Linked DNA regions of Ovis aries. Each later gene encodes a partner of the first gene's protein in a complex. Links are inferred from orthologs where the notes say so. Each region holds a gene or a part of one and is shown in the gene's direction. Other genes may lie near its edges. The genes, in order: GLI1 and SUFU.

Region 1 (10,369 bases):
CGAAAACCTTCATTTTCTGTAGCTGGAAAAGTTAGCTAAATATTCCTTTCACCAGTGTGAAGGGGAGACGTGGGTGGGCTGTGGCACGCGTGGGTGAGGAGGGATTATCACCCCATTTCCATCTCGGTTCCCTTGTGGCTGGACATTGGGGCTGAAAGATGACTGGGTAGGCATGTTTGGGGGAGTCTCTTTAGATTTGGGGGGTCGTTTGCTAGCCCCCGCCTCCTTGGATGAGTCATAGAGGAAGGAGGCGGGAGAAGTGTCCCCCCATCCAGCTGCCAGCCAGCTGTGCCCGCTCCCCCCCCCCCAACGTAATGCCAAGGTCGAGTTGGGAGGTCTTGGTTGCAGGATCCGGATCTCCGCTAGTAAAGGAGGAGTTAGGAAGGGTACAGCCCTGGCTGCGGGGATCGGCTGGGTCCTGGGGTCCAGGTTCCGCTCCCCATCTTACCCCGCCCTCACCCTAAATCCCAGCATCCCGGGATCACCCACCGCGCCGGCCGGCCCGCTCCCGGTCGTTCTCCACCCTACCCCGCCCCACCCCACCCTCATTCCCGGGAGACCGGAAAACCCGGGGTGGAGCAAAATCTGGAGCCTGAGGAGAAAAGTGGACAGCGGCACCCTCCTCTCCCTTACTACCTCTCTTCTCTCTAACGGATGATGACTTGTGTGTGAGTGCGCCCACGAATGTGTGTTTATTCTCCCAAAGCTTTTCCTCACAGTTCCTTTCCAGTTGCTCCAAAACAAACAAAAAGAGTTAAGTCAGCGCCCAGATTGAAACCACCCCTGAGTAACACCAGCTTCCATCCTTTGCACCAGCAGACCTGGGAGGCTCTCCTCGGAAACTTGTTCCCCTTCCACACACAGTTTTCTGCCTTACAGAGCAAAGGGCAGATCATCTAGGCTCCCTCCGGGCCCCGTGAGCCTGTCTGGGCTGTGGCGAGGGCTCCCTCTGCTGGACACTGGAGAGGTTGTAGACCGGCTGTCCAAGAGCAACAGATGAAGGAAAGGGAGAGGGGCTCAGGCTGATCAGCCAGCCCAGAGCTTGAGGTCAGTCACTTCTCCTCCTGAGTCCCCCCATCCCATCCCTGAAGGCTGGCCCCATGGTCAGAACAGGACCCATGGTATAAAAAGCACTTGAAGCTCCTAGTCACAATTTTGGTCCACAACACTCCCCCAACACACACACACTCACACAAACACTCCATCCAGGCAGAGCTCCTCCCTAAAAAGGAGTCCTAAAAAGATCCCCAGGACTGCCTCTGTCTCTATGGGACTTCTCTCCATAACCTCCCCTAGCTGAGCGATGCTCCTTTCAACTTGATTTTCCATGGCAGATGTCTCGGAGGTAATCTGCCCAGGGTTCTGGGCCTGAGTGACTTATCTGACCTTCCATATTTCCCTCCTGCCTTTGTAACTTGCAGGTCTCCCTTCCCCTCCTGCAGTGACCCCCACACTCTCCTCTGAGACACCATGTTCAACTCGATGACCCCACCACCAGTCAGTAGCTATGGCGAGCCCTGTTGTCTCCGGCCCCTCCCCAGTCAGGGGGCCCCCAGTATGGGGACAGAAGGTCAGTACATACACCAGTCCCTGGACTTTGACTACTGGCAGATCTCTCACCCAGCCCCAGGGGTCCCTCTTCTATCCCATTCGTTTCCCATATACAAAAAGAATTGAGGTCCTATGCCATATGGGACTGGGCCTTACTTGGAGTTTCAAGATGGACTGTATGTGCCCTTCATTCCCATGCCCCATCCCAGCTGTATCTCTTTCCTAGGACTGCCAGGCCTGCCCTTCTGCCATCAGGCCACCCTCATGCCCGGCCCCCACAGTTATGGGCCAGCCAGAGAAGCCAACAGCTGCGCAGAGGGTGAGGCCTCAGGCAACCTGTCTTTCCTTTCTGCCCCTTTGGGATTTGTCCTGAGGGAGAGTGTTGGAGGGCAGGGGATCTACCTTGGAAAAGGAAATGCCTAGAGATGGGATTAAGGAGTCAGAGCATGATCAGAAGGTCACAGATGAGGTCAACAGGGTAGAGTCTAGTGTTGTTTCTTTTTGCTGAGAGTCAGTCCTCATGGGTTGGATGCATGAGGGGCCTACTCCTTTATCGTATCTACCTCCCCTGTTTCCTGCCCCAGCGCCACTGTTTCCTCCTCCCCGGAGTGCAGTCAAATTGACCAAGAAGCGGGCACTCTCCATCTCCCCTCTGTCAGACGCCAGCCTGGACCTGCAGACAGTTATCCGCACCTCGCCCAGCTCCCTCGTGGCCTTCATCAACTCACGCTGTGCATCTCCTGGGGGTTCCTATGGTCACCTCTCCATCGGCACCATGAGGTGCAGACAGCCTTGAGCTAAGAGGCCCCTAAGACCCTGCCAAACCCCATTAGAAACCTCAAAGCCTTCCAAACCACCTGATCCTCTTTGAATCCTTATCATTTCAAAGGTGTGGAAGTCCTCTTCAATACTTTCCCTGGGCTGTCTCCACTGTTTCCCATACTGTCTTCCAGAAACCTTCCAAAGAGCCCAGGAACTCCTGAGGCTTTCTGAGACGACAGTCCTAAATGATTGCCTCTCCTCCTCCTCCACAGCCCATCTCTGGGATTCTCACCCCAGATGAACCACCAGAAAGGGACCTCGCCTTCTTTTGGGGTCCAGCCCTGTGGTCCCCATGACCCCACGCAGGGTGGGATGATGCCACATCCTCAGTCCCAGGGACCCCTCCCAACTTGCCAGGTGAGAATCACCTGATTTCCCTCAGTTCAGGGTGGATGGGTGGTGGGCTTTTTCTTTTAGAGGAAAGGCGAAAGAATAGAGGATGTCAAAGTTTTCAGTGCCAGAAAAATAAAGGAATATGGATGCCGGGGGTTGACTCCTTGAGGTTCTGTCAGTCTCTTCCAAGTGAGATCCCACCTTTCTCTCACCCCATTCACCAGTGCAGTCTAAGGAGGAAGTCAAACTCAGGGGTTGCAGCTGCTAGGGTGGGACACTCAGGGCTGGAAGACTTGGCTGGGGTCCCTTTTCCTCCTCCCACTTCTGTCTTCATCATCCTCACCTTCCTTTGGGAAAGCTGAAGTCTGAGCTGGGTGTGCTGGTTAACAAGTGCCCGGAGGAGCCCTTGGAAGGTGATATGTCCAGTCCCAACTCCACGAGCACACAGGTAATGGGGAGTGGGGAGCTTTACTTCTGGAACCTGAACGAAACAAAAGCTGTCACCAGGTGACCCTAGGGTTTTCTCTCCTACCCTAGGATCCACTGCTGGGGATGCTGGATGGGCGGGAGGACCTAGAGAGAGAAGAGAAGCCTGAGCCTGACTCTGTGTATGAGACTGACTGTCGCTGGGATGGCTGCAGTCAGGAATTTGACTCCCAGGAGCAGCTGGTGCATGTGAGCCCTGGGGGGGTAACAGGAATGCTGGCTGGAGCCTGTAGGGCATTCTGGGTGGGACATGGTGGAGTCAGGCTAAGGGCAGGGGGTCAAAGATGGAATATCCAGTGGGTAGGCAGAAACTCAGAGGAGCTGTAGCTTTGTTTAGAAACGGGGAGGAACGGAGATGTGGGCTCTGATCTTCTTCCTGCCTTTTCTTTCCCCATGACAGGAAGTCATGGAGGGATATGGTGGGGTGGGGAGGTCAAGAGAAGGTCTGTTCTGGATCTCAGGGGCATAGGGAACCTCGGAGAGCCTCTGCATCTTCTCCCTCAGCACATCAACAGTGAGCACATCCATGGAGAGCGGAAGGAGTTCGTGTGCCATTGGGGGGGCTGCTCCAGGGAGCTGAGGCCCTTCAAAGCCCAGTACATGCTGGTGGTGCACATGCGCAGACACACGGGCGAGAAGCCACATAAGTGCACGGTGAGGCACCCCCTCCCCAAGCTCAGGGTCCCTTCCTAAATCAAGGCTCCCCACAAAGGCAGGGGCCAATCTGACTTTTGCCATCACAGGTCCCTTCCTCCACAAACAAACATTTAAAAATTGTGTTATATAGACCGCATTGGTATAAAGATGAACGTATTGACGTTACATGTTAGAATACTTTCTAATTTCTTTTCCCCCTTGTTTTTTTAAAAGAAATTAAAACACTTTTGTGGGCACCAGACAGTACAGTGGACCTAGGCACTGTGCTCACAACTTGGGTTAATGGAGAAGCCCTGGACTGAGGACACACACCAGGATGACCCCATCTTAACACAGTCTGGGCTCCCCAGGCAGGGAGATGTGCTCTGACTTGATCCAGAGCGCTCACTGCCTCATCTCCACATCCCTGCAGGCAGAGTGCCTCCAGCTACTTCTGTCCCCTCCGCTTTTGCCTACCATTGTCCCTGAATTTTGGGAATTCTATAGTCCCAGCACTCTCCCATCTCTCCCGTCCTCCCCTGCACTGCATAGCATGTGGGATCTCAGTTCCCCAACCAGGGATTGTACTCAAGTCCCCTGCATCAGAAGCACAGAGTCTTAGTGTCCGGACGACTAGGGAAGTCCCACGCTTGAATTATATTCTCTGATGTATGTCCCTTTTGAGATTCAGGGTTCCGCTAATCTCCATGTCCTTCTGTCTGAGAGCCATCCTTTGACCCCATATCCCCTAGTTTGAGGGGTGCCGGAAGTCATACTCACGCCTGGAAAATCTGAAGACACACCTGCGGTCACACACTGGTGAGAAGCCATACATGTGTGAGCACGAGGGCTGCAGTAAAGCCTTCAGCAATGCCAGTGACCGAGCCAAGCATCAGAATCGGACCCACTCCAATGAGGTGAATGCCCCACTCAGGAGACCCTCCTCCCCACTTACAGACGCCACCTACTTGGGAGCTTCCCCCATAAGAAACCCCTTAGCTCAGCACCCACTTCACAGAGGTGAGTTCCCCTCCACCTGCATAATTCACCCAGAGATTGTCTTTCTGAAACCAAGAATTTCCACTTACTATCCCTCCCCCACCTCTAACCAGTCAAAGGGCTAAGCTAAAATAGACCCATTCTAACTAGGGTACCTTCAACCCCCTGAATTTATGAGGCCTTGCAGCCCTGGGTTCATTCCCTCCCCTTTCCCAGGCCTATCCGTTTTCCTAATCTTCCCCTTGATCCGTTCATCCTTTACTCCAAGGGCCCTACTCTCCTTCCTTCCTTGGGTGCTATGCGTTCCTCCGAGTCCCCTTGTCTTCACTTAACGCCACCACTTTTTCCCATTTCCTGGCATTGTCCCGGTTTGATTCTTTTGCCTGCTGTCTTCACTCTCCACTCAACAGAAGCCCTACGTGTGTAAGCTCCCTGGCTGCACCAAACGCTACACAGATCCCAGCTCGCTCAGGAAACATGTCAAGACAGTACACGGTCCTGATGCCCACGTGACCAAGCGGCACCGAGGAGACGGCCCCCTGCCCCGGGCACCGGCTCTTTCCTCAGTGGAGCCCAAGAGGGAGCGGGATGGAGGCCCCATTAGGGAGGAGAGCAGACTGACTGTGCCGGAGGGTGCCATGGTGAGGCAATGCCCTGCCTCCATACCTCTGCCTGCCCTGCCGACATCTTTCTAGCCCCTTCCAACTGGTCCATCTCCTTCTATGCTCATCTCTCTTCTGTGGCTGGTCCCCAGTCCCTTATCTGAGTGTTGCTCCTTAGGCTACCTCAAATCTAGGGATTTTACTGTAATTCATTAGTGCCTGGGTCCAACCAGCTCATATAGAAATTAGTGTATAATTTGAGGCCTTCTACCAGTATAATTTCAGGTACGCCTCAAAACAACTTCATGAGAAGGGAACTTACTCTTGTCATTTTCAGATGAAGAAACTCAGAGAAATTGTCCAAGGTTACAGAGGACAAATTGGAGCTGAGGTAGTCTAGGTTCTTTTCTAGGAACTTTCCCCCAGTTCACCCGTGTCTTTCACTGGATCAGCCCTCTCTACACCTGTAAGCAGTCACTGGGACACGGGCTCTAGTCACTCACCAAGTTCAAGGAGCTGTGGGGAAGGAGGATGGGCGCCGCCTTCAGCCCTGCTTTTCCCCACAGAAGCCACAGCCGAGCCCTGGGGCCCAGTCGTCCTGCAGCAGTGACCACTCCCCAGCAGGCAGTGCAGCCAATACAGACAGTGGTGTGGAAATGACTGGAAACGCAGGGGGCAGCACGGAGGACCTGTCCAGCTTGGACGAGGGGCCTTGCCTTGCGGGAACTGGGCTGTCTACTCTTCGCCGCCTTGAGAACCTCAGGCTGGACCAGCTACATCAGTTCCGGCCGATGGGGCCCCGGGGCCTCAAACTGCCCAGCTTGAGCCATGCCGGTGAGTGATGGGTGTGGGGCATGGTTGCAGGGCTGAGATCTGGCCCTTCTCTGAGACTGGGAGGGAGACTTCACCTTTCAGGGCTGCTGCACAATTAGAAAAAGGTCTCCTTTCCTCGAGATACTTTCCTTCCTTCTATCAGAAAATTGTTGTCTTTTGAATGCTGTCCCCTTTGATTGTGCAGTGTACAATCTGTAGGACTGTTCACAGCGACCCTGAATGTCTGATGACCCAGAAGCAAAAAGGGAGTGGGAGAAGGAGGGGAGAGAACTGAGTGGCTAGAGTTAAGGAGCCTTCCCTGGAATTCTGGACAAGGCTTCCCCTTGGGAGAGGCAGGGTGAAATTCAGAGGGCTCCCTGGCCAGCCTGTCTTTTCTTACAGGCACTCCTGGCTCTCGCCGTCTGGGCCCCCCGGTCTCTCTTGACCACCGCAGCAGCAGCTCCAGCAGTGTCAGCTCAGCCTATACTGTCAGCCGCCGCTCCTCCCTTGCCTCCCCTTTCCCCCCTGGTTCCCCACCAGAGAATGGGGCATCCTCCCTGCCTGGCCTCACGCCTGCCCAGCACTACCTGCTCCGGGCCAGATATGCTTCAGCCAGGGGAGGTGGTACCCCTCCCACTGCAGCACCCAGCCTGGATCGGACGGGGGCTCTTCCTGCACCTCCCTGGAGAAGCCGAGCTGAGTATCCAGGATACAACCCCAATGTAGGGGTCACCCGGAGGGCCAGTGACCCAGCCCGGTCGGTTGACCGCCCTGCCCCAGCCAGAGTCCAGCGGTTCAAGAGTTTGGGCTGTGTCCACAGCCCCCCTACAGTGGTAGGAGGAGGACAGAACTTCGATCCCCAACTCCCAACCTCTGTCTACTCACCACAGCCCCCCAGCATCACTGAGAATGTCTCCATGGATACCAGAGGGCTACGGGAGGAGCCAGAGGTTGGGACCTCCATGATGGGCAGTGGTCTGAACCCCTATATGGACTTCCCACCTGCCGATACTCTGGGATATGGAGGGCCTGAGGCGGCAGCAGCTGAGCCTTATGGAGCTAGAGGGCCCGGTTCCCTGCCTCTTGGGCCTGGCCCACCCACCAACTATGGCCCCAGCCCCTGTCCCCCGCAGGTTCCCTATTCTGAACCAACCCCAGAAACATGGAGTGAGTTCCCGTCCCACTCTGGGCTCTACTCAGGCCCCAAGGCTCCAGCTGGAGCCTACAGCCAGTGTCCTCGTCTTGAACATTATGGACAAGTGCAAGTGAAGCCAGAACAGGGGTGCCCCGTGGGTTCTGACACCACAGGACTGGCACCCTGCCTCAATGCCCACCCCAATGAGGGGCCTCCACGCTCACAGCCTCTGTTCTCCCACTACCCACAGCCTCCCCCTCCCCAGTATCCCCAGTCAGGTTCCTATACCCAGCCACCTCCTGATTATCTGCCTTCAGAAGCCAGGCCGGGCCTGGATTTCGAGTCCCCCACTCATTCTACAGGACACCTCAAGGCGCAGCTTGTGTGTAATTATGTTCAGTCTCAACAGGAGCTGCTGTGGGAGGGTGGGGGCAGGGGAGACCCCCCAGTCCAAGAACCTCTCTATCAGAGTCCCAAGTTTCTGGGGGGTTCCCAGGTCAGCTCAAGCCCTGCCAAGGCCCCAGTGGCCACATATGGACCTGGCTTTGCACCTAATATGCCCAATCACAAGCCGGGCGCCTATCCTACCCCTTCATGCCATGAAAATTTTGCAGTAGGGGCCAACAAAGCTTCCCACAGGGCAGCAGCACCACCCCGACTTCTACCCCCACTACCAGCTTGCTATGGGCCCCTCAAGGCAGGGGGCACCAATCCCAGCTGTGGCCATCCTGAGGTGGGCAGGCTGGGAGGGGGCCCTGCCTTGTACCCTCCTCCTGAAGGGCAGGTATGTAACCCTCTGGATTCTCTTGATCTTGACAACACACAGCTGGACTTTGTGGCTATTCTGGATGAGGCCCAGGGGCTGAGTCCTCCCCCTTCTCACGATCAGAGGGACAGCTCTGAACACACCCCACCTCCCTCTGGGACCCCCAACATGGCTGTGGGCAACATGAGTGTGTTACTGGGATCCCTGCCTGGGGAGACACAGTTCCTCAATTCTAGTGCTTAAGGAGTGGGGGACCACAGATCCACATTTCCTGAGGGGTTTCCATCCCCATGAGGAAGTCCGGAGGAGGAGCCATAGCCCCCTGGGATGCCCCAGGGATGGGGGGGTGGGCTGGGGCTATACACAGTCTAAATATATTTGGGGAGGAATTTGATAATGACACCGTTTCCTGATAATAAAGGAACTGCATCAGAAAGAGCCCTGCTTTATACTGTGACTATCTTGGGGGAGGGGTGATGGCCAGAAGCTAGAGAAGCAGGGGCTAATCCAGCCACCTCCCTCTTTAGAGAAGTTTCCTCATCCTAACCCAGGCCCTCAGCTCAGACTCACGAAGGTGGAGACGGCCATCCGGGAGACAGGATTTAAAGGGATGTCCTCAAAACAGAACCACCCCCTCCCTCGCCCCCACCAAAGGCTACCCCACAGAGATCGCTGGAAATACGTTTTCTCTTCTTTGCCCCAGTCAGGGAAAGACTCTGGTGAAGTTGGTGAGCATCAGCTGGACGACCTGCCCAGGGTAGAGGACATGGGCCACTGGATCCGATGTCTCCTGCTCCGGCCGAAATAGGGTTGGTCCAAACACAATTCCCAGGTTGTGGGGGGTCATGCGGTTCTTGTCTGAGTGTGCTATCACCCTGTGGGTAAAGGCCAAGAGACGGGACCATAGTATAGCAGCTTTGCCAGTTCAAATAAATCTAACCCATCAAAGGTTTGAGGACGAATCCACTTTGGGGGCCTTCCATGCAGTAGCTGAAGAAAACCAAGGAAAGAACCAGGGGGACAGAACTGAGACCAGCGGAGAAACCTTCAGGACGCAACCTAGGATATACCCGCCTCTTCCCGACTTCAGAGACTGCCCCTAGAGTCCTCTCTGCTCATCATCTGGGAGGTTTTCATTCAGATGGCTATCCTCTCTCAGAGGTCACTGCCCAGCTCTGCCAAATGTCATCCCCACTGTCCCAGTGAAAGACAAAGGCAGAGGGAAGGTTAGATTTTTCCTTATTTCTCTCGCATCATCCCTAGACTTGTCTTGTTCCCTAGTTCCTCATTTGATTCTGACTGAGCAAAAAAGGTTTTCGATCCTCGGCACAGAGTGCCTATTTCCTCAATGACCCACTAACTTTCGGTGTTTCCCTGCCTTCACCCCATCTGAACACAGAGTCCCGGCTGCAGGCCCCACCCCACCCTCCCCTGACGTGAACAAAGATATTCAGTCTTCCTGACCTGCATAAATGCTCCAGGAGGTACCGCAGAGTGTCATGGTTGGGCTTTGGCATTGAGCTTATTAATTCTTGTATTTGAGAGAGGCACTGTTCTGATTCAGTGAGGGCTGGAGAGAAAGAGTGACAGGAAGGGCATGGGAGTGAGGTTAGGAAAGGTGTTAAGGCAGAGTGGGTAACCTCAGTATCCTTTCTGGTGCTTGGGGAAGACATCATTAATCGATCATGGCTTTCTTTTTCACTGAGTCCAATTACAATCTTAGAATTCTTTTTTAACTCAGCCCTCTTAAACACTCACACATACACAACTGGAGTGGGCACATTAATTGAAAATTAATTTCCATCTCTGTATTCAGGCTGGGACAGAGGAGTGGAAGGAAACCTCTACTCTACTCTTTTATCACTCATGCCTCCCCCCCGCCCTCCATCCCGTGTCAAGGCTATTGCCCAAAGCTCCCATCCTTTACCAACGGCAGCACGAAAATCAGGCAGCAGTAGTGAGGGCACCAGAGGCTGGGGTAGCTCCCTCAGAAAAAGTTTCAGGGCTCCTGTGATCACATGAATGTCATCCCATTCAGCACTGTCCAAATCTAATCGGCCTTCTGGAAGGAAAAGGAGGTACAGAAGGGCTCAGGGCTCAAGAAGGGTTACAGGGACCCAGAGACTAAGAGATCAGGAGTTTAGGGAAAGATCCAGTGAAGACAGACCATGGAGCACCTAGGGGGGTCCACAGTGGGGCAGAGATCGGGATGAGAACAACCCCCCA
Region 2 (11,169 bases), on another chromosome or scaffold:
CCCAAAATGAGGTGTCTCACTGAGCTCAACCTTTTTCCAGGAGAGAAGGAAAGAAAGCTAGCTAAAGAAGCACCTTTCCTTGGAAGAAGTGAGGAATTAAGAATTCAATCTCAAATTGAATCTTGGCTCTTCAATTCATAAGCCAGGTGGTTTGAATACTGTTATTTAACCTTTCACGTTTCATTTTTCTGGATATTTAGAGTCCTATCTACCTATCAGTGTTGAAGCTTGAATAAGATGATGCAAACTAAAGGACCTTGCAAGTGCCAACGGTCCCAAGGACTGAATCAAGAAACCGAATCTGAGTCAGCTTAGAGCGAATTGGCAGTTCTGCCTTAGTAGAGGGACTCAGAGGGGACTAGAAAGGTAGCAACCAATCTCCATTGGACTAAACCTTTGAATGGAAGACAGTCACTTTTTAAATAACTGCCTCCTTCCGCCAGAAATAAGAGCTATATTTAGATTCTTTCGATTTGTGACTATTGATACATTTGCGTAGGTACTATCAGGATGAATAACGGATAAAGCACAGGATTAAAGTGCGACCTTGGGCTCACTTTACATTTTTGCGCTTCAGTTTTCTCATTTGTAAAACGAGGATCAAAATTCCTGCCTTAACTATTCACGTTGTGAAGATCCAACTGGAATGTATGCGAACCCCTCCGTTGTAAGCGCTGGAGCGCCTGGCAAGTATTATATTTAGTAATTTTTACCCTCAGCAACTAGGCGTTTCAAAGAGGAAGGTACCTCCCTGCTTGCTTTGTCATTCTCCTTTCTTCTCGACCTTTATTAACGGTATAATTTATAATCACAGAAGTAACTGAAATCCTCAGGCCATTTCTGGCATCACACTCTCAGACCCCACCCAGATACACCGCCAAGCCGCCCTACCGGCTGGGACCGAAGGAAACTTAGCCCTGCTCCACCCGCCGCCCTAGCCCGTCTGCCCCCTCCACTGGGAGTCCCCGAAACCAATCACAACAGCCCTCGTGCACCGCACCGCCCTTTGAAAGAGGAAACACTATGGCGGCCCGGAAGAACGGCAAGGGAACGAGCCAATCATTGCAGAAGGCTGCCCCCATCCGGCAAGGCCCAGAGGCGGGGTCAGCGGTCAAGATGGACAGCCAGAGCAGCCAATAGAGTTATCGAAAACTGGGGAGGGGCGGGTGCCGGGGGCTCACAGAGCGGTTAAGGACCCTTGAGTCAAGGGCCCAAGGACCCTGCTAGGACTATAACCCTTCCCTTTATCCATCCCAAGGTTCTCCTTCTCATGGCTGCTGGCCAGCTGGTCGCCCTATCTGCGGACTTCGGTTCGAGGGAGGAGAGAGGCGGCGGCGGCTGAACCCGCCTGACAGGCCGGGCCAGTGACAAAGAACCGGCAGCCCAGACTGAAACACGGGAAGCGATCCCTTCGGGGAGGAGAGCATAAGCCCTGCTAGGGGGATGCAACTCACGTTGTCGATCACGACAGGCTGGTTGGCGATTACATCGTAGGACTCCATGGCAGAAGAACCTCTCCTTCCGAGGAAGGAACTGCCAGCCCGGTCCGCCGCTAACGCCACTGACACGCATGCGCAGTCTAGCCGCCGGCACTGGGCAGCCGGGGAGCGGCCCGACCTCACTTTCGAAGAACTACAATACCCAACATGCCTTGCACCTGAATTAGCGAGCCAGGCTGCTTTGGAACCCCGCCTAGTTTAAGGAACGGAGCGTCGCGTTTCGACGCACAGTACGCTGGGCTTTGTAGTTTCTGTAGGTAAATGGAAGGGTACGCCTATTGATGGTTGCAATCTCGCGTCTGGATCTGTAGACCCTTTGAAGGGATTCTCAGTCCAAGCTGAAGTATGTAGTCTTCAATATTGTCTGTAGTTCGGTTTGGATTGATTAGTAACTCGTGAATGTTTGGATTTTACAGGCTAGTCCTTCCACTTGCCACTACTTCCCCTGGACAATATGAGGTTGCAATGTTTTTATATGGGTCTATAAGGCATTAATAAACATCTACCACCTGTATGCAGGTCAGAAAGCAACTGTTAGAACTGGGCATGGAACAACAGACTGGTTCCAAATAGGAAAAGGAGTACGTCAAGGCTGTATATTGTCATGCTGCTTATTTAATTTATATGCTGAGTACATCATGAGAAACGCTGGGCTGGAAGAAACACAAGCTGGAATCAAGATTGCCGGGAGAAATATCAATAACCTCAGATATGCAGATGACACCACCCTTATTGCAGAAGGTGAAGAGGAACTAAAAGCCTCTTGATGAACGTAAAAGAGGAGAGTGAAAAAGTTGGCTTAAAGCTCAACATTCAGAAAACGAAGATCATGGCATCCAGTCCCATCACTTCATGGGAAATAGATGGGAAACAGTGGAAACAGTGTCAGACTTTATTTTGGGGGGCTCCCAAATCACTGCAGATGGTGATTGCAGCCATGAAATTAAAAGATGCTTCTTCCTTGGAAGGAAAGTTATGACCAACCTAGATAGTATATTCAAAAGCAGAGAGATTACTTTGCCAACAAAGGTCCATCTAGTCAAGGCTATGGTTTTTCCAGTGGTCATGTATGGATGTGAGAGTTGGACTGTGAAGAAAGCTGAGCGCCGAAGAATTGATGCTTTTGAACTGTGGTGTTGGAGAAGACTCTTGAGAGCCCCTTGGACTGCAAGGAGATCCAACCTGTCCATCCTAAAGGAGATCAGTCCTGGGTGTTCATTGTAGGACTGATTTTGAAGCTGAAGCTCCAATAATATTTTGGCCACCTGATGCTAAGGGCTGACTCATTTGAAAAGACCCTGATGCTGGGAGGGATTGAGGGCAGGAGACGGGGACAACAGAGGATGAGATCATTGGATGGCATCACCAACTCACTGGACATGGGTTTGGGTGGAATCCAGGGGTTGGTGATGGACAGGGAGGCCTGGCGTGCTGCGGTTCATGGGGTCATAAAGAGTGGGACACGACTGAGTGGCTGAACTGAACTGAACTCAACCACCTTCTTAGTCTAATAAAAGGAAATTTTAGTATACATACAGCTGAGGAACATATTCCTAGAACAAAGGAAAGTATATTGCATAAGGCTTGCTTTTTTTGAAAAAAAAAAAAAAAAGGTATATTTTTGTTCAGTTCAGTTCAGCTCAGTCGTGTCCGACTCTTTGCGACCCCATGGATTGCAGCACGCCAGGCTTCCCTGTCCATCAGCAACTCCTGGAGCTTACTCAAACTCATGTCCATTAAGTCAGTGATGCCTCCAAACATCTCATCCTTTGTCGTCCCCTTCTCCTCCCACCTTCAATCTTTCCCAGCATCAGGGTCTTTCCCAATGAGTCAGTTCTTCCCATCAGGTGGCCAAAGTACTGGAAATAATCAACAAAATATTTTTGGTTGATTTTCTCATGTTTTTCCTGGAAAGGTGTAAACCTGGCAACATACTAGTATTGGTCTGAAGACTGACATTTGGAACTACTGGTACAGATGATCTTTTGGTCATTAAAACATCCTTCATCTAATAGCTTCATAACTGTTGTCTCTCTCTGTCTCTCTTTAGTCGCTAAGTCATGTCTGACTCTTTGTGATCCCATGGATTTGTAGCCTGCTAGGATCCTCTGTCCATGGGGTTCTCCAGGCAAGAATACTCGAGTGGGTTGCCATTTTCTTCGCCATAGGATCTTCCCGACCCAGGGATCGAACCCAGGTCTCCTGCACTGCAGGCAGATTTTTACCGACTGAGCTGCGAGGGAAGCCCAGGAACTGCTCTAGTATATCTTTAATTTTCATGGGGAGCTAGAAATCCTAGGGACGGGGGAACCTGGTGGGCTGCCGTCTATGGGGTCGCACAGAGTCGGACACGACTGAAGCAACTTAGCAGCAGTGGCAGCAGCAGAAATGACACTGATGAATGAGAAAATGGAATTGAGAGATTATGTGTTACTGCTTTCTAAGGAGCCCAGTGCATTTTTCTCTAATAAATTATTTCCTCTTTTCCTTCATGTTGTGGGGATCTTTAGTTAATAGCCAGTAGTCAGGACTTTCCGCCAGTAGTCAGGACTTTCCGCCAGTAGTCAGGATTCTCTTCTATCCTTTTCTCTTGAAATTTCAAGATTATTGAGTGGAAGACATTACTATAAGTAAAGTTATTGCAGGCAGGAAAATAATTTCCAACCCGGTGCCTTAGAAACTAAAAAATCCCGTTTTTAATGCTACATGGACGAAGGAAGCAATCCATTGTAGCAATCCATTGTTACATTTATGTTTAAATCCTTCTGAAATAAATAAATTAAATAAATCCTTCTGAGCATCGTATTAGCATAACAGTGACATGCTTTTTGTCGGCGCACTTCCCAAAGCTTTCTTGGGTCCCTAGCACCTCAGAGGATGTCCCAATATCTCTATTTAATCCTGGGCTCCTCCTAACGCTAGGGGGAAGCGAAGAGCCTTGGAACACCCCCACAACTCTGGGAGAGAGAGGGAGGCGGGACCTATTGTCAAGTCACGCCTTCCCTACCTGTGACTGGCACAGACATTGGCCAATGGAACCGGAATAGGGCGCGCCGGCACCCCGCCCCCTGAGCGCCCCGCGGCCCCCGAGGCACCCTCTGGCCGTCTCCACCGCGGCGACGGCCTGGGCGGACAGTGCGCCTTGCGCAGGCGCGGAGCCTAGACCTCGCTGCAGCCCCCATCGCCTCCGGGAGTCGCACCCAAGGAGTTCGCCTGCTGGCGCGTCAGTGCTCTCCCCCTCGTCTGCCCTCCCCGGTCCCCCCAGCACCCTACGCGCCCCGATGGCGGAGTTGCGGCCTAGCGGCGCCCCCGGCCCCACCGCGCCCCCGGCCCCTGGCCCTACTGCCCCTCCGGCCTTCGCGTCGCTCTTCCCCCCAGGACTGCACGCCATCTACGGAGAGTGCCGCCGCCTGTACCCAGACCAGCCGAACCCGCTCCAGGTTACCGCTATCGTCAAGTACTGGTACGTCTTGGGCCGCGCGGAGACCGACAGGGGCGGGCTGAGAAGGGTTAAAGCGCCAGGAGCGAAGTAATTTGCCAGGGAATTGGAGGGGAAAGGAGAGTGGTTAAAGCACTTGGAAGAGGGCTTCCTGCTGTGAGGGAAGAAGTTAAGGCTCAAGTTAGGAATGGGGACAAAGGGGTTAACGAAGCCTGCGGGTAGCGAAGGGTTAGCAAGGGAGGGGAGGATGAAGGGTTAACTGGCATTAGAAGAATGGAGTGAATTGGGGGTGTTGGTAGAAGCTGAGGGGGCGACGGTCGGAGAGAGGGAACTGTAAACGTGGTGAAAGGAGGGGGCGCCTGGAGGGGGTCTAAGTGGGCGCGTGGAAGCCGAAGGGGGGCGGCTGAAGTGAGATGGGGGAGGCGAGGCGGGGCCTGAGGAGCATCTGAGAAGGCTTTGGAGCCGCGCGGCCGGAGGAGCTCCGAGCTCGGAGGGCACGGGACTGCACAGGGTAGGGGCGGGTGTGGGTCTGTGGGTTAGGATGTGAGCGTTGAGCTTGTGAGGGGATGAGGGGGAGGTCTCATTTTGATACCTTCCGGATGAGCTCAGACATTCATATCAGTGCAGTGCTTTTGCGTTTGAAGTTTGATGGAGCAGCTTCTCCCGATCAACTTTCTGCTTACTCTGCACAGTTCTCTTACTCCATGCAGAGCTTCCTCTGGCTCCGCGGCTGCTTTGGTCTAGGTCACTGGCTAGAACAGGGGCAGGCTGGGTCAGGGAGATCCATGGTTTGGCTCAGGATTGAAGGAGGCTGCTGTTAACGACGAAGATCCGGAACTTGGACACGGGAGGATCCTTCAGTGAGATATTAAGAGTAACTTTGTGGGCTGGAGCGCCCAGATGTAGGCAACAGTTCCTCAGGGGAGCTGAGAGTAATCCCTAAGTAACTCTGTTAAGATCAGACCTATGTACACATGGACTGCCCCTGGGGAAGGAATGGTCTTTTCTCGTTTCCCATTCTTTTTGTAACCTGTTTCTTCGTGCCACCTCTGTTATGGGGACTCTTCTTCATGGTCTTGCTGAACTAAAAGTTGACTAAGAAACTAGTTGAATCTGTACAAAACCACTTTCATGCAGGCACTGTATTAGATGAACTCCTTCATTGGCTCCTAAAAGACTGTTCAAGGCAGGCACTTGGGGTGTGACCAAAGGGGAGGTACCCCCGAAGGGGGAATGAGTAGAGTGGATGTCTTTACTGGTTACCTTCCTTTAGGGCTGAGTCTTTTCCCTCCCTGGCAACCACTTACTTCTTCTGGAGATTGCAGGAGCTGGGCTGCCTAGGGCGGAGGCCAGCTCCCTATGTCTGTGGGAGGCTGTGGAGAGGCTGACAGTGTGAAGGGCCTGGGGAGCAACCACCTGCTCCGTGGGGAGAGCGGCAGGAGCAGCCTGCCTCTGTCTGGTAGCCAGAAGGAGGTGTGGCCTGCAGCACAGTTTTCTCTGGCAGGCACGGTGTTCTTTGGTTGAGAGGAGTTTTTGAAGAGGTCTTCTGAGTAAAAAGCAGCTCTTGATAACTTAATCACTCATTTTAAACTTTTTATTTATTTTCATCTACAAATTATGGCAATTTTATTTCATTTTTATCATTTTTTTTACCATTTACTTCTTTTTCTTGACTTATTGCTATCTGGTATAATTTCCTTTCAGTACATAAACTTTTTATTTTAAATTGGTATATAGCCGATTAACAATGTTTGTGATAGTGTCAGGTGAATGGTGAAGGGACTCAGCCTTACATACACATATAGCCATTCTCCTCCGAATTCCTCTCCTCTCCAGACTGCCACATAACATTGAGCAGAGTTCCATGTGCTATACAGTAGGTCTTTGTTGGTTTGTACCACTATATTTAAATATGTACAGTGATGGACTCTATTGGCATACTTCGTGAGAAAAAGGGGACCTGCCTCTGGCATGCTGTTTGTTCAGGCCTTGTTTGAGTATAAGGAGAAATCCCCTCTCAGACTTGGGCCACTGTTATTATGTCACCCAAGTGGACATGAAGGATAGAGTTGTAAAAGGTGTTGAACACGGGCTCCCCTGGCGGTCCAGGGGTTAAGACTCTGTGCTTCCACTGCAAGGGGTATGGGTTCGATTCCTGGTTGGGGGAGTTCCACAAACCATGAGGTGTGGCAAAAAAGAAAAAGATATTGAACACATGCAAAGGACTAAGATTAGTTTGGGAATCTGCTTTTTCCTCCATCTCCCTGTGAACCTTTTTTCCCATGTTGCTGCAAGTTTGTTAACCAAGTCAGGACTTATCTTAAAAGATGGGCCAGCATCTAATGATGAATAAAAACGATTGTATAGCACTTTGTGAAATTAGAAATGCTGCCTGGATACAGAAATAAATGAGAAGAAACAGCCCAGGGACTGGTTCTTTCTAAAATTCAGAAGGGGTTGCATAATTAAGTCCTGAAAGTGGTTCACTGATAAACCTTCACATTTAGGATCCTATAAGCCCTCTTCAGTGTTCATAGCAGGATGACTGACTGAGGCTGCCTCAGTTTGGCTGTGGCCCAGGGTATTGAGATTCTTTTTTCTTGTGACAGAAGGATGACTTTCTTGACTAGCCAACTGGGACATCATGGCTGAAAGCTGAGGCTTTACTGGTCAGGGAGCTGAAGTAGAGCTAGTGCCCTGGGTCACTCTGGCAACTTCCCTGTGAAGTCAGGTGTTCAGGGACTTACACTGAGGGATGATCTGGGTCCTGGGATAACATCTTTTTCTAAGTGCAAAATATGATGATTTTCCACGTACTCATCTGCTTCCTATCAGGTCTCCGAGTGAGTAGAACAGAACACTATGTACTTAGAGAAAAGGCTAATTTTGTTTGACTCTCGGTCCTTTTCTGCAGATGGAGTTTTGAGGTAAAGCCTCTCTCTTAGATGAAATGCCCTTTGGGAGACTTGGCCAGGGCTGTCAGGGATGTGGTAGATGGGGAGCACAGAAGAGTGGACACAGTTTTGCCCCTTGTTGCTGGAGGGACCTAGGCTGAAGGCTGGGCAGGACTGGGACTCGGCAGCAGGGAGACTAGAGCAGATATGGAGCCTGTAATCATTCCCACCTGTTCCAGGGCTCTGCCGTTATCATGAGGTCCTTGCAGGGGTAACCACCCTTTCTTTCTTCTTTTCCCCAACAAACTTCTCTAAATCCAAATGATTATAGAATTAGTCAAATGGTTTACCCACTCACTCCAGTATTTGTGCCTGGAGAACTCCATGGACAGAGGAGCCTGGTAGGCTACATTTCATGGGGTTGCATAGAGTCAGAGATGACTGAGTGACTAACTTGGCAAAAGCAGAGTTAAGGAAAGACATGGAGATTTATCTCTTTTCCTAATCCACTCCGTTGAGATTCTAAGCTATTTGTAGCGACTTTCTTGCAAGTCCTATAAATAACTTAGCATTTCCCAGCAGAGAATAAGGACTTCTGCAAAGGCAAATAATGTCCTGGCAAAAGAGGGTGAAACCAAACCTACTGGTTTTAAATAGTGTTTGCATCGTGTGGTACTGGCATGTTTGCTGGGATAACATACGTGTAATCTTTTATTTGGTTGGTTGTGTTCTTTCAGCATATAATCCCCAATGCCAAGTGTACCCCATCCTTGTCCCAGGGTCAAGCAAAGTTTTTGCAGTCTGTGGAACCGTCCGATGTCCAAGGCAGCTCAAGTACAGGGTTTGGGGGCTAAATGCAGACTTCCTTGTGCTAATGGTTTCCATTTAGTCTGTCTCTCGAGTCTACCACGTTTCCATCTCCATTCTGAAGAAAAGCAGGATTCTTTTAAAAAGATCACTAATTACTCTGCTAAAGGGACCCTTCTTGAATTAAATCCTCAGAGTGAGCTAATGACTGATCTCTTCCTCAGTTGCCTCTCTGTTGGAATTATGGGGAAGTCTAATGTGGTCCTCAGAGGCCCTGAATCATTTAATGTTCCAGCTCTACCTTTCAGGCAGCCATCTCCCGGGATCATCTTGCAGTTGCAAGACCTCACAGGGCTCAGCCGGGCTCCTGCTGCAGTTCTCTGTGCAGAGCTAAGCTAGCCTAAGTTTGGCCTTTGTCACTTGCATGATAAAAGACCAGCTTTGGTCTGGGGTGTTCAGGCTGGGATCTGGAGGCATTGGGTCTGTTTAGAACAAACTATAATTAACATAGGGCACAATATGGTCTTTCAGGAATTAGCTGTCTAAGAGGCAGGAGTGGGGCCGAGCCTCTGCTTCCAGTAACAATGCCCATTGGAGATGCTCAGGATGGTCTTTCAACAGAGGCACATTGATTGACTGATGCACTTCTTGCCTTGAAGCTTGGCGTGTTTTCAGGCACCGTGGAAGAGAGATAATCCCTGCCAATCCCACTTGGGGTTGGTAACTTGAAACAGAAGGAAGTCAAAGGGAGCAATCAGTCTGTTTTATTTCTAAAAGAGGTTCTACCTGAGATAGGAGAAGGGAGCCTCTTGTGCTTGTGTAGCTGGGCTACCTCCAGCTGGCCATCCTTTGGTCTTATCCTAGAGAGGTATGGCCCTCCCTTTAGTTCTCTTTTACCCCAGATTCGTCCAGGATGGGGCCTATAGGTTTGTAAGGCAGAGCCCTTTAGCTTCACATTGTCTGCTTTAAGGTTTATGCTGACATCCCTGTGTTTTGTCTTTTGCAGGTTGGGTGGCCCAGACCCCTTGGACTATGTTAGCATGTACAGGAATGTGGGGAGCCCCTCTGCCAACATCCCTGAGCACTGGCACTACATCAGCTTTGGCCTGAGCGATCTCTATGGTGACAACAGAGTCCATGAGTAAGTGTGTACTCTTGCCTTCTATCTCCCTCTTCCCTAGCCTTGAGCCTTATTTCTGAGTTTTGTTTTGCCAAAAGTGTTACTTTCATTTTAGGTTTGAGGGATTCATTAACAAAAGAACCACTCATTACATACAAATAAATGATTTCAACTTTTAATAGATTAACTTAATTTCAATATACAGTCACTAGAAGGAAAAGAAATAGAAACAATAGAGAGAAGTAACAGCGTGTACATCACCAAATTGAGCCGACACCTACATCCAGAGTTGAACAGTGCTGGGAAGTCCCGAATGATAGCAATCTGGAGTCCCAGTTGGGAAAGGGTACCGAGCAGTGCATCCACCCCACAGGTGAGACTTCATATTGCACTTCTGGGGGCTCCTGCTTATAATCCCAGGCCGTAAACTGATATCATCGTCAGTTTGGGTGCAAAAAGGCAGCTCTGATTTAATTTTTACAGTGGGGTTTGTTTCACCTTGTGAGTCACAAGACTTCTTAGACCCCAGGGGTCTGCTAGGCCTTTAGGGGCTTACGAGATCCAAGACCCACTCCCTTTCTTACCTAAAGTGCCGCCTGACTGACTGTGCCTGTCGCTTGGATCCTGGGCAGTGTCCATGCAGGTCAGAAGCAGGTCAGAGGTCTGCCCTCCTGCTTCCGAAGCCTGCACAAGACTTCCTCTATTTTGATTTCCCTAGCCAAGTTTTCCTGAGCAGAGAGGATCACGTCATCGTCCCTTGAGTTTGGCATTTCTCACGTGGAACATCTGGGTTTCTGCCCTCTGCCTGTAGCCACTTGTGCCGATGTGGTCCAGATCAGGACCTGAGCTGTACTCATCTGGTGCAGGAAAGTGTCGATGAGAGAGAATTCCAAAACTGTTAGGTTTCTCCAAGCTTGTTGTGATGTTTGAGCTCAGAGTACAGGCAGCATAGCTGTGACCCAAAAGCTGAGTTGATTCCTCTAGGTCTACTTCCTTTTCCCCCCTCTGCCGCTGCTAAATCACTTCAGTCGTGTCTGACTCTGTGCGACCCCATAGACGGCAGCCTACCAGGCTCCCTCGTCCCTGGGATTCTCCAGACAAGAACACTGGAGTGGGTTGCCATTTCCTTCTCCATTTGCCCCCTCTAGATTATTATAAAAATTTTAAAAGAAGCAAAGTTGAAAGAGTTTTACAGTGAACAATCAATCATATACCGCTCCCTGGATTTTACCATTAATATTTTATTCTACTTGCTGTATCATGAATATGTACATCTCTGTTTCTCTGTGGATGTTACCTACTTCCTTTTTACCTCTAGTTATCTGTGCTCAGATCAGCTGCAGTACATTTTTTATCCTAGTCTATCTTCCGTTTGCTGCCCTGTGATACTTCTCAATCCTACCTGCCTCC

What was found.
Region 2: the proteins of GLI1 (region 1) and SUFU are in contact, whole or in part, in a crystal structure (PDB 4KMD), measured with the Homo sapiens proteins. The link is inferred for Ovis aries from reciprocal best matches to the Homo sapiens genes GLI1 and SUFU. Residues at the interface, in NP_005260.1 of Homo sapiens: Gly119, Ser120, Tyr121, Gly122, His123, Leu124, Ser125, Ile126, Gly127; in NP_057253.2 of Homo sapiens: Leu144, Tyr147, Asn153, Thr154, Phe155, Gly158, Asp159, His160, Val161, Ser162, Trp163, His164, Gln212, Asn265, Leu266, Ser267, Gly268, Val269, Ser270, Ala271, Glu376, Leu380, Lys398.

Annotation. Positions count from the first base shown.
Region 1 is NC_056056.1:162,168,746-162,179,114, reverse strand, and holds the end of GLI1 (zinc finger protein GLI1), read left to right. Parts: exon of another isoform or gene 1-1,047; intron 1,048-1,421; 5' UTR 1,422-1,470; coding exon 1,471-1,570; intron 1,571-1,777; coding exon 1,778-1,870; exon of another isoform or gene 1,871-2,071; coding exon of another isoform or gene 2,072-2,135; coding exon 2,136-2,331; intron 2,332-2,585; coding exon 2,586-2,730; intron 2,731-3,064; coding exon 3,065-3,154; intron 3,155-3,243; coding exon 3,244-3,381; intron 3,382-3,696; coding exon 3,697-3,846; intron 3,847-4,580; coding exon 4,581-4,745; intron 4,746-5,237; coding exon 5,238-5,468; intron 5,469-5,995; coding exon 5,996-6,263; intron 6,264-6,644; coding exon 6,645-8,386; 3' UTR 8,387-8,579; downstream 8,580-10,369. Other genes in the region: ARHGAP9 (rho GTPase-activating protein 9), read right to left, coding at 8,847-9,018, 9,608-9,713, 10,071-10,205. UniProt on the Homo sapiens protein: Acts as a transcriptional activator. Binds to the DNA consensus sequence 5'-GACCACCCA-3'. Regulates the transcription of specific genes during normal development.
Region 2 is NC_056075.1:22,875,750-22,886,918, forward strand, and holds the start of SUFU (suppressor of fused homolog), read left to right. Parts: upstream 1-4,592; 5' UTR 4,593-4,780; coding exon 4,781-4,962; intron 4,963-9,645; coding exon 9,646-9,780; intron 9,781-11,169. Other genes in the region: ACTR1A (alpha-centractin), read right to left, coding at 1,455-1,502. UniProt on the Homo sapiens protein: Negative regulator in the hedgehog/smoothened signaling pathway. Down-regulates GLI1-mediated transactivation of target genes. Down-regulates GLI2-mediated transactivation of target genes. Part of a corepressor complex that acts on DNA-bound GLI1.